3 linked regions of the Saccharomyces cerevisiae S288C genome follow. The gene in region 1 interacts genetically with each later gene. Each region holds a gene or a part of one and is shown in the gene's direction. Other genes may lie near its edges.

What was found. Genes that interact genetically often act in the same process or in processes that back each other up.
Region 2: mutations in SOM1 (region 1) and GLD1 together harm fitness more than expected from each alone (negative genetic interaction), as found in Saccharomyces cerevisiae (one large-scale study listed by BioGRID).
Region 3: mutations in SOM1 (region 1) and ASG7 together harm fitness more than expected from each alone (negative genetic interaction), as found in Saccharomyces cerevisiae (one large-scale study listed by BioGRID).

What each region holds. Positions count from the first base shown.
Region 1 is NC_001137.3:41,561-44,746, reverse strand, and holds SOM1 (Som1p), read left to right. Parts: upstream 1-2,122; coding exon 2,123-2,347; downstream 2,348-3,186. Other genes in the region: phosphoacetylglucosamine mutase PCM1, read right to left, coding at 1-1,495; HHY1 (Hhy1p), read right to left, coding at 1,787-2,095; PRB1 (proteinase B), read left to right, coding at 2,794-3,186. UniProt on the Saccharomyces cerevisiae protein: Non-catalytic component of the mitochondrial inner membrane peptidase (IMP) complex. IMP catalyzes the removal of signal peptides required for the targeting of proteins from the mitochondrial matrix, across the inner membrane, into the inter-membrane space.
Region 2 is NC_001148.4:743,033-746,437, forward strand, and holds GLD1 (Gld1p), read left to right. Parts: upstream 1-1,656; coding exon 1,657-2,541; downstream 2,542-3,405. Other genes in the region: proteasome regulatory particle lid subunit RPN7, read left to right, coding at 1-711; DNA-directed RNA polymerase core subunit RPC40, read right to left, coding at 2,796-3,405.
Region 3 is NC_001142.9:100,286-103,449, reverse strand, and holds ASG7 (Asg7p), read left to right. Parts: upstream 1-1,670; coding exon 1,671-2,300; downstream 2,301-3,164. Other genes in the region: histone methyltransferase SET2, read left to right, coding at 1-1,223; TOH1 (Toh1p), read left to right, coding at 2,556-3,164. UniProt on the Saccharomyces cerevisiae protein: Required for receptor inhibition of inappropriately expressed a-factor receptor (STE3) in MAT a cells. Inhibits signaling by relocalizing the G protein beta-gamma (STE4-STE18) subunit to intracellular membranes.

The sequences.
Region 1 (3,186 bases):
TGAGCAATTTTCTTTCCTGGTCCGTGGTTTGGAAAATTGACCTATCAGGAACGATGCACTTAACCAGCTTGTTGGGCAAATCAGTATACTCTTCATCCCAATCCATTGGCGACATTTTCAAAATCGCCAAAGTAGCAAGGACAGCAAGCATGTCTGAAATAGCATCTCCCACGGTCTGATTAATCAATTCAGAGAAACACTTCAAAGTTCTCAAAGCTAACGTATCACCATTTAACTTGGACTTGGATAATTCAGATTTGATAGTTCGATGAAATTTTTCGCTGAATATAATCGTACCATGTCCATTTGCTTCGAAATAAATGCCAATATCGTACTGAGTGGCAGCTTCATGATGCAAGTGTTTAACACCTGTCTTAGTGCAAGACACGGGACAGTGCAACGTATTTTTTATGTAAGCGGTGGAACTGCCGTTTGCATAGGCAGTTTGCACAACACCAATCTTCAAAGAATGTTCTAGGTGTGCCAATTCTAGTTGTTTAGACAAGAACTTTGCAAACAAAGTGGAAATTTTGTCACCATCCAACAAATGAAATTTTGATCCTGAGTCGACATAGTAGAACACAACCCTGTCTGCGTCACCATCAAAGGAGCAATATAGCGAATCAAACGAGGATGGAGAAAGACCCTTGGGTAATCTCTGGTTAGTCTTCACATAATCCGCACCGCATTCAAAATTCAACAGTTCTGGAACATCGGACCTGTCGTTGATTACCTCAACTTGCTCCGCTGGCACGTCCCAATCTTCGGAGGCCAGTAGTTTTTTCAACTGTGGACCACCGATACCATTGGCTGTGTCTATGAACAATTTTGGGACAGACAGCCTCTTCTCCAGCTGATACGTGGCGAAGAGCTCGTTGAAGGCTCCTATAAAGAACGAATAGTAGTCCTGTTCTGTGGCAACTGGCGCTGTGTCTCCTTCCAGTTTCCGCCTGTTGGACAAATCAGTAATGTAATGCAATTGAGGCGTAGTGACACAGCCTAGGTCCAAAACTTGCGCGTGGAAGACGCTGGCCATGGAGGAAGTCAAGCAGCGCAGCAAGTATGGACTACTTTCCCTAGAGTCTCTCCCAACCACGATGTGAGGCACGACGGTTGTATTCAAATCAATCTTTTCGTGTTCAATCAGCTTGGCCAACTCAACACGAAATTCTTCAAAATTAGTGGCAAAAGAGGCCGCATTGGCCAACTGCATGGCATATGGCTCCCATGTGGCCAAAAGCATCGATCCGTCTGGTTCCACGATCTTGACCCCGTTGTCCTGGTATGGGTTGTGCGACGCCGTGATCATCACCCCCACATACTGACCCTGAAGCTTCAGCGACCTGAGAACCGCCAGTATACCAGTACTGAACATCACCGTATCCAAATTCTTGGCCAGCGTTCTGAATCCGGCCGTACCGTAACTGAACTGCACATTCTTTGTGCGGCACGTGTCATCGTAGAGTTTGCACAATTGCTCGTAATCAACCTTCATCGTCTCTAAGCTTACTGCTGACCTTTGCCTTGGTCCTTGTACTTGTCTCGATTGCTGAAACCATTAACGGTTTTTTGTTCTTACTTAATCTTTTTTTTCCCGACGACGCAAAATGTCAGAAAAGATATAAATAGAGCAACGTTTCCTGCTACATGAAACACGCTGGCATATAGAAGAACTTCAACGAGCGAGGCTCTCTGAACAATCTGCTAATCGTGCAAGTAAGGGTTCTCGTGACAGTTCACCGTGTATAAACAGATAAACAGATAAACAGTCAGATATGCTTAATTTTTAACTGTAGGCTGTGCCGACATGCCATTTTATGCGGCTCACTTCTAACAAAAGTGACCATGACGCACAAGCAAGCAAACAGCCAAGTAAGGAAGCAGACAGCTTCACAGCACACACACACCGTTGTGTACGAAAATCCTCTGCAGAAGAGTGTATATGCCACTCATCCACACTTCCGCAGCGCAGTACGTAATGCGGTATCGTGAAAGCGAAAAAAAAACTAACAGTAGATAAGACAGATAGACAGATAGAGATGGACGAGAAACAGGGGGGGAGAAAAGGGGAAAAGAGAAGGAAAGAAAGACTCATCTATCGCAGATAAGACAATCAACCCTCATGGCGCCTCCAACCACCATCCGCACTAGGGACCAAGCGCTCGCACCGTTAGCAACGCTTGACTCACAAACCAACTGCCGGCTGAAAGAGCTTGTGCAATGGGAGTGCCAATTCAAAGGAGCCGAATACGTCTGCTCGCCTTTTAAGAGGCTTTTTGAACACTGCATTGCACCCGACAAATCAGCCACTAACTACGAGGTCACGGACACATATACCAATAGTTAAAAATTACATATACTCTATATAGCACAGTAGTGTGATAAATAAAAAATTTTGCCAAGACTTTTTTAAACTGCACCCGACAGATCAGGTCTGTGCCTACTATGCACTTATGCCCGGGGTCCCGGGAGGAGAAAAAACGAGGGCTGGGAAATGTCCGTGGACTTTAAACGCTCCGGGTTAGCAGAGTAGCAGGGCTTTCGGCTTTGGAAATTTAGGTGACTTGTTGAAAAAGCAAAATTTGGGCTCAGTAATGCCACTGCAGTGGCTTATCACGCCAGGACTGCGGGAGTGGCGGGGGCAAACACACCCGCGATAAAGAGCGCGATGAATATAAAAGGGGGCCAATGTTACGTCCCGTTATATTGGAGTTCTTCCCATACAAACTTAAGAGTCCAATTAGCTTCATCGCCAATAAAAAAACAAACTAAACCTAATTCTAACAAGCAAAGATGAAGTTAGAAAATACTCTATTTACACTCGGTGCCCTAGGGAGCATCTCTGCTGCTTTGGTCATCCCAAATCTTGAAAATGCCGCCGACCACCACGAACTGATTAACAAGGAAGATCACCACGAGAGACCCAGAAAAGTGGAATTCACTAAGGACGATGATGAGGAGCCATCTGACTCTGAAGATAAAGAACATGGAAAGTTCCATAAGAAGGGCCGCAAGGGCCAAGACAAGGAGTCTCCGGAATTCAACGGTAAACGTGCAAGTGGCTCTCATGGGAGCGCCCACGAGGGAGGAAAGGGCATGAAGCCTAAGCATGAAAGTTCCAATGATGATGATAATGATGATAAGAAGAAGAAGCCTCACCATAAGGGTGGCTGCCACGAAAATAAG
Region 2 (3,405 bases), on another chromosome or scaffold:
GTCAATTCTATGATTGAAAAAGGTGGTGACTGGGAGAGAAGAAATAGATATAAAACATACTATGGTATCCACTGCTTGGCCGTAAGAAACTTTAAGGAAGCGGCAAAGTTATTGGTCGATTCTCTAGCAACTTTCACCTCTATTGAATTAACTTCCTATGAAAGCATTGCCACATATGCATCGGTCACAGGTTTATTCACTCTGGAAAGAACAGACCTAAAATCCAAAGTCATCGATTCACCTGAATTGTTATCTTTAATCTCAACAACTGCCGCACTACAATCTATCTCGTCGTTAACAATTTCCCTTTACGCGTCCGATTATGCCAGTTACTTTCCATATCTTTTGGAAACATATGCAAATGTTTTGATTCCATGTAAATATTTGAATAGACATGCAGATTTCTTTGTTAGAGAAATGAGAAGAAAAGTCTACGCACAATTGTTGGAATCATATAAGACTTTGTCGCTGAAATCTATGGCAAGCGCATTTGGTGTTTCGGTTGCGTTCTTGGATAACGACCTGGGTAAGTTTATTCCAAATAAGCAACTAAATTGTGTCATTGATAGAGTTAATGGGATCGTAGAGACCAACAGGCCAGACAACAAAAATGCTCAATACCATCTGCTAGTTAAGCAAGGTGACGGTTTGCTAACAAAATTACAAAAATACGGTGCAGCAGTGAGATTGACAGGGTCAGATCGTGTTTGAGGAATTTACATTATTTAGCAACGCACATAATCACATCAACATGTATACATAGTTTGGAGACTTGAGTAAATAGTAGTGAGAGGATATATGGATCGGTTCAAGTCAAAGGATTGTAATCATCCTCTTTCTCCTTTAAAACGGAGAGCTTCTATAGTTTTCAAGCTTCCATTAAAAATTTCAGTATTTAGTTCGGAAAGTTACATAATTGCAATGTCTCATAAAGGACCATGCTTCTTTTGAAAGTGAGGAATCTAAGGCTGAAAATGCCAATTCTTAAAAAGTAGTATAACCAGAAAAAGGAATCCCCATAAAAGGAAATTCATGATACGGTCATTGTTTCTTCATTTGTTTAATACGTTGTATTCGAGTGTTCTAGCCAATAAACGATTCAACTAAAACACTTCTGGTTCGCTTTTAGGGATATCGTTGAAATGAAATCACTCCATGATAGTTTAAGTGTTACAGACATTAAGAGAAGTCGGCTGCAAATTTCCATGCAGACACTTTGTCCCTTCTTGGAGGATACCCTACAGTGTAAAAGCCTCCTTAGCTTAGTGGTAGAGCGTTGCACTTGTAATGCAAAGGTCGTTAGTTCAATTCTGACAGGTGGCAAAATTTTTTCCCTAAAGTTAACACTTATTTAGCTTCTTTTTATATAAAAAATCCATGAGAATTGATTCTGCATTTTAGTTTAAATTTTTTCTTTAAGACTATGATGCTTTCATGCACAAGGTTATATTGTTCTCCTTCTCTATAGTTATTGCAAGGAAATCATATATAACGAAACACAATTTGATCCTTTTGAACCTACATTATCCCGCACTCTTGACGTATCATCAAATAAAGCTAAACTGCGGAAGCCTAAAAATACTAAGCACGCTATTTGTCATCCATTAGCAGGCCAAAAGCAAACTAATCTATGTTTTCAATAAGGCCAATATAATAATGGATAATTTTGAAAGTACTGCTGAAGGAAATTTAAGTATAGGAAACAAACGAGTATACGAACTACGAAAAAGAAACTTCCAAAGAAATTTGGTGAATAATTTGAGCTTTCTCGGGTATGTTTTAATATCATTGGAATATATCAAGTATGATCGTACCGTCTGGACACTTATAACAAGAGCAATAGTGCAATCTCTCATAAGTTCTCCTTTTCCAAGTGATGCCAAGTTACGTAGGCTAGCGACCCTCGGTGCAGATAATAACACGACGGGGGTTGCAACACTTCCAGGCGGAAGATCTATCAGGTTTCCCGGAATGTTTGGAACAGAAATGCTTTATAATTCTTCTAGTGAAGCTGAGCAACAAGACCATGATGATACCGCTATTGTGTCCATGAAAAAGCAAATCCGGAAGTTTTTATTTCATGGTTGCTTATCGTTGAATATGCTTTTCATTATCTTAACAATCCTATTCCCAATTGATTTTTTTGAACCCCTGAGTGGTAGCGAGCCAGTAGACGATGGCCCTAAGAATACTCCCTCACCCTTTTCCAATTCAGATGGTCTACTTTTGGGTGAGAGAAGAGGTGGGCTTTTTCTACAGATGATCGGAGAACGGCTACCAAAGAGCAACTTTTCCGGCAATCTTGGATTAGTAATGTTCGAATTTAGCATACTTATTGTACAGTTTACTTTATTTTCACTAACATGTGTTGTATTGGCAGATTTAGATTTTGAAGAGCCAGAAAGACTAGAACCTGTAAATAGTGATGGCTACGATGGCTCTGTAATAGTTGCACGAATACCATTAAATAAAACCATGAATGCCATTTTAAATGACGGCAATATTAATGACAACAATGAGAATGCTAGCAATTCTGTCTAATAGTATATATATGTAGTCCATAAGGGGTAATGCATATTACTGTTATCGGCACTATTTTATAGAGAGTTACATTTACATATATCATTCTATTACATTTCCTTATCTATGACGATTCATGGGTTTGTATTTTTTTGGTAGGATTTGCCAATTCTACTAATACTAGAAGAAAAGATTATACAAAGATAAAGACCCTGAGGTTAAGTATTTAATATTTTTCTCAAACTGTGTTTTTTTTATTAGTATGCAAAGTAGGATCATTGGGTAATTGGACAGTTTTTCAAATACTCAGCCTTATTCTTTAAAATCCTGACGGATTTGAAAAAAATTTCTTCTGGTGTCATGGCACCAGCGCTTTCTACGTTGAAAATAAAGTGGTTCCTCACTCTTCCTAATTTAACTTTATCAGCAAACTCTTCGTATCTTAAAACCTCCCTGGAAACCGTATCCTTCCTAGCATCTTTGACATACGCTTCATCTGAACCTTCATCAATACCAATAACACCTGGGGGAAAACATTTTTGAAATCTTCTGGCACTTTCACCTTTGATTGGCTGTAAGATATTGATTTGAGGTAATAATCTATAAGAAGCGGTGGAAACTGGTGAAAATTTAGCATGATCACCACCGATACCTAAAATGCAATGTGCCTTCAACGAAATTTCTTGACCAGGCCTTAGCTTAGCTAATAAAATATCAGGATCAGCTGGAACAACCGGACAATCAGCAAAAGTGGTAGATTGTCTGCCCTGTGGTTCAAACTTCAAATCACGGGCGTAGACATGGGCATTGTTATATAGTTCCTTTGGATCAGTAGATCCCTTTGGAGCATCTGGATTTCTTGTGCACTTCACGTTCAAACTCAAA
Region 3 (3,164 bases), on another chromosome or scaffold:
TGACGAAGATCATGAGTGTATTACTACAGCAAGATAATAAGATAATTGCATCCAAACTCTTGAAGAGACTTTTTACTATCGATGATGACTCTCTTCGTCATCAGGCTATCAAACTACACGGTTACACCTGTTTTAGCAAAATGCTTAAATTGTTTATCACGGAACAACCTCAGGTAGATGGAAAAGGAAACGAGACTGAAGAAGATGATATAAAGTTTATAAAGGGAATTTTAGATTTTTTGTTGGAATTACCAAAGACAACTCGAAACGGTATTGAGTCGTCACAAATTGATAATGTAGTAAAAACTCTCCCTGCAAAGTTTCCATTTTTAAAGCCAAACTGCGATGAGTTATTGGAGAAATGGTCGAAATTTGAAACATATAAAAGGATAACGAAGAAAGACATAAACGTCGCAGCCAGCAAAATGATAGATTTGAGAAGGGTGAGATTACCTCCAGGCTGGGAGATCATTCACGAAAACGGTCGCCCATTGTATTATAATGCAGAACAGAAAACGAAACTACACTATCCACCTTCGGGATCATCTAAGGTCTTTAGTTCAAGGTCAAATACACAAGTAAATTCTCCGAGTAGCAGTGGAATACCAAAAACGCCTGGCGCTTTAGACTCTAAGAAACATAAGCTGAGTGACGAAGAATATGAGAGGAAGAAACAAAAAAGACTGGAATACGAAAGAATTGCGCTAGAAAGAGCCAAACAAGAAGAATTGGAAAGCCTGAAGCAAAAGCTAAAGCTTGAGAATGAAAGAAAAAGCGTTTTGGAGGATATTATAGCGGAGGCCAACAAACAGAAGGAGTTACAAAAGGAAGAGGCCAAAAAACTAGTGGAAGCAAAAGAGGCTAAGCGGTTGAAAAGAAAAACGGTCTCCCAGTCCCAAAGACTAGAGCACAACTGGAATAAATTCTTTGCATCTTTTGTACCCAACTTAATAAAAAAAAACCCACAAAGTAAACAATTTGATCATGAAAACATTAAACAATGTGCTAAAGACATCGTGAAAATCCTAACTACAAAGGAACTTAAAAAAGATTCTTCAAGAGCGCCGCCTGATGACTTAACCAAAGGAAAAAGGCATAAAGTTAAAGAATTCATAAATTCATACATGGATAAGATTATCCTCAAGAAGAAGCAAAAAAAGGCGTTGGCATTATCATCAGCATCAACAAGGATGTCTTCTCCTCCACCTTCAACATCATCATAATTAACCAGACATGCATATTTGGGGCTTGTTTCACGTTTTCTGTCCCAAAGGAAGTCTTGTACTTTAATTGTAATTGCGATTTGTAATAAGTAATTTTTTTTGTCTTTACCGTTTATTTCTTTATACATTTTTGGTGCATATATTTAAATATCCGCATTAGTGGGCTATCAGTAGCACTGTAATGATAGGTAATGTGACACATCTTCTCGACAGATATTATTCTTGAAAAAATCGTGCGTTTCAAGTGTCTTTATTTTTTTGCTGTCAATAGAAGTGTTGAAATGACTTTGAAACGTAATTACCGCATCGGGAAATTTACATGTTAACTGCAATGAAAACAAGGAATATACGGGGAACATATAAAGGGTCAGCGTCGTTGACTAGTCTGTCATTTATATTGTGCTTGTACATAGGACTACAAAAATTCAAAGAATGACGACAAGAAACATGACTACTTTAGCATCAAGTATTGAGCATAAAACAAAACATCTAGCCGCGCCCTTCGAGAACGATGAGAACCCTTGGATGAAAAAATACTGTTGCCAATGCAAATCATGTAAAATGAGTGTGCCTGTCCAACCTTGGCTGCCAAGGTTTTTTGTTTTTGGAATCTTGTGCCCCGTTTTCTGGTTGGTGAATCTTTTAGCCTGGTGGTTCTTACAGTATTGGCAACCACATGAATTGGAATTCCACGACTTGCAAGAAGACGAATACCCAGGATTTTATGAATATGAAGCCATAACTAAAAGAACGGTGATACCCATAAAGGAAGAAGTCCTCCAAGAGATTCGCGTCATGCAGAATTTCAGTGATAGCAACAGCGAAGAATATTACGAGAGCAAAGACGGTATGCCGTCGTCTTTCCTAAACGTGAACACGGAACAAGTCGAGGACGAGAATGACACCTTGAAAAAATATCGTTACGCGTTTTTGAAGAAGGTAGCCCACGATGTGCTGGAGTCGCACGATTTATTACGTAAGACCTTCCGCGACTGGAATTTACGGTCTTTGCTTGGCCTCCTCATCGATTCTATACTCATAATATTTGTAGTTCTCCTATGTAAGAAAAGCCGTTAGGTAGATCTAAAGACAGAAAATGATATCAGCCTCTTTCTTTTCCACAGCCTCCATTTCCCATTTTTGCTGTATCTGCAAGGGTTCCTTTTTCCATTTTTTTTTTTCAAAGTCTTGGCTCCGCCCTTTTCTTTTGTCTATTTTGCCGAGCTTAGGTTATTTATAAACCTGAAAATCCTCGAGAAACAATCCTTATCGAAGGAAGCAGCCATAATAGAACATACTCAAGTGCAAACATTACAAGCTTAAATAAGACAAATGTTACAGAGTATAGTCCTTTCCGTGTGCATGTTTATGTTGCACACAGTCGCTGCCAGTGGACCTCAGTCGTACCAAAAGTTGGATTTCACTAATGTTGGTTTTACAGGCTCCTACGTAGATGTGAATAAGTTTAAAGATATCACCAACAATGAATCGTGTACTTGCGAAGTGGGTGACAGAGTATGGTTTAGTGGTAAGAACGCTCCACTAGCAGACTATTTATCCGTTCATTTCCGTGGACCATTGAAGTTGAAACAATTTGCTTTTTACACATCCCCTGGATTTACCGTCAACAACAGCAGAAGTTCTTCTGATTGGAACCGTCTTGCCTACTATGAGTCCAGTTCCAAAACCGCTGATAACGTTACCTTTCTAAATCATGGAGGTGAAGCTTCCCCTTGTTTAGGAAATGCTTTGTCCTACGCTAGTTCTAACGGTACTGGCAGCGCCAGTGAAGCTACCGTTTTGGCAGATGGCACTTTGATTTCTTCAGATCAAGAATACATAATCTATTCGAATGTCTCATGTCCAAAATCAGGTTATGATAAGGGTTGTGGGGTTTACCGTAGTGGCATTCCAGCTTACTATGGGTACGGAGGTACAACA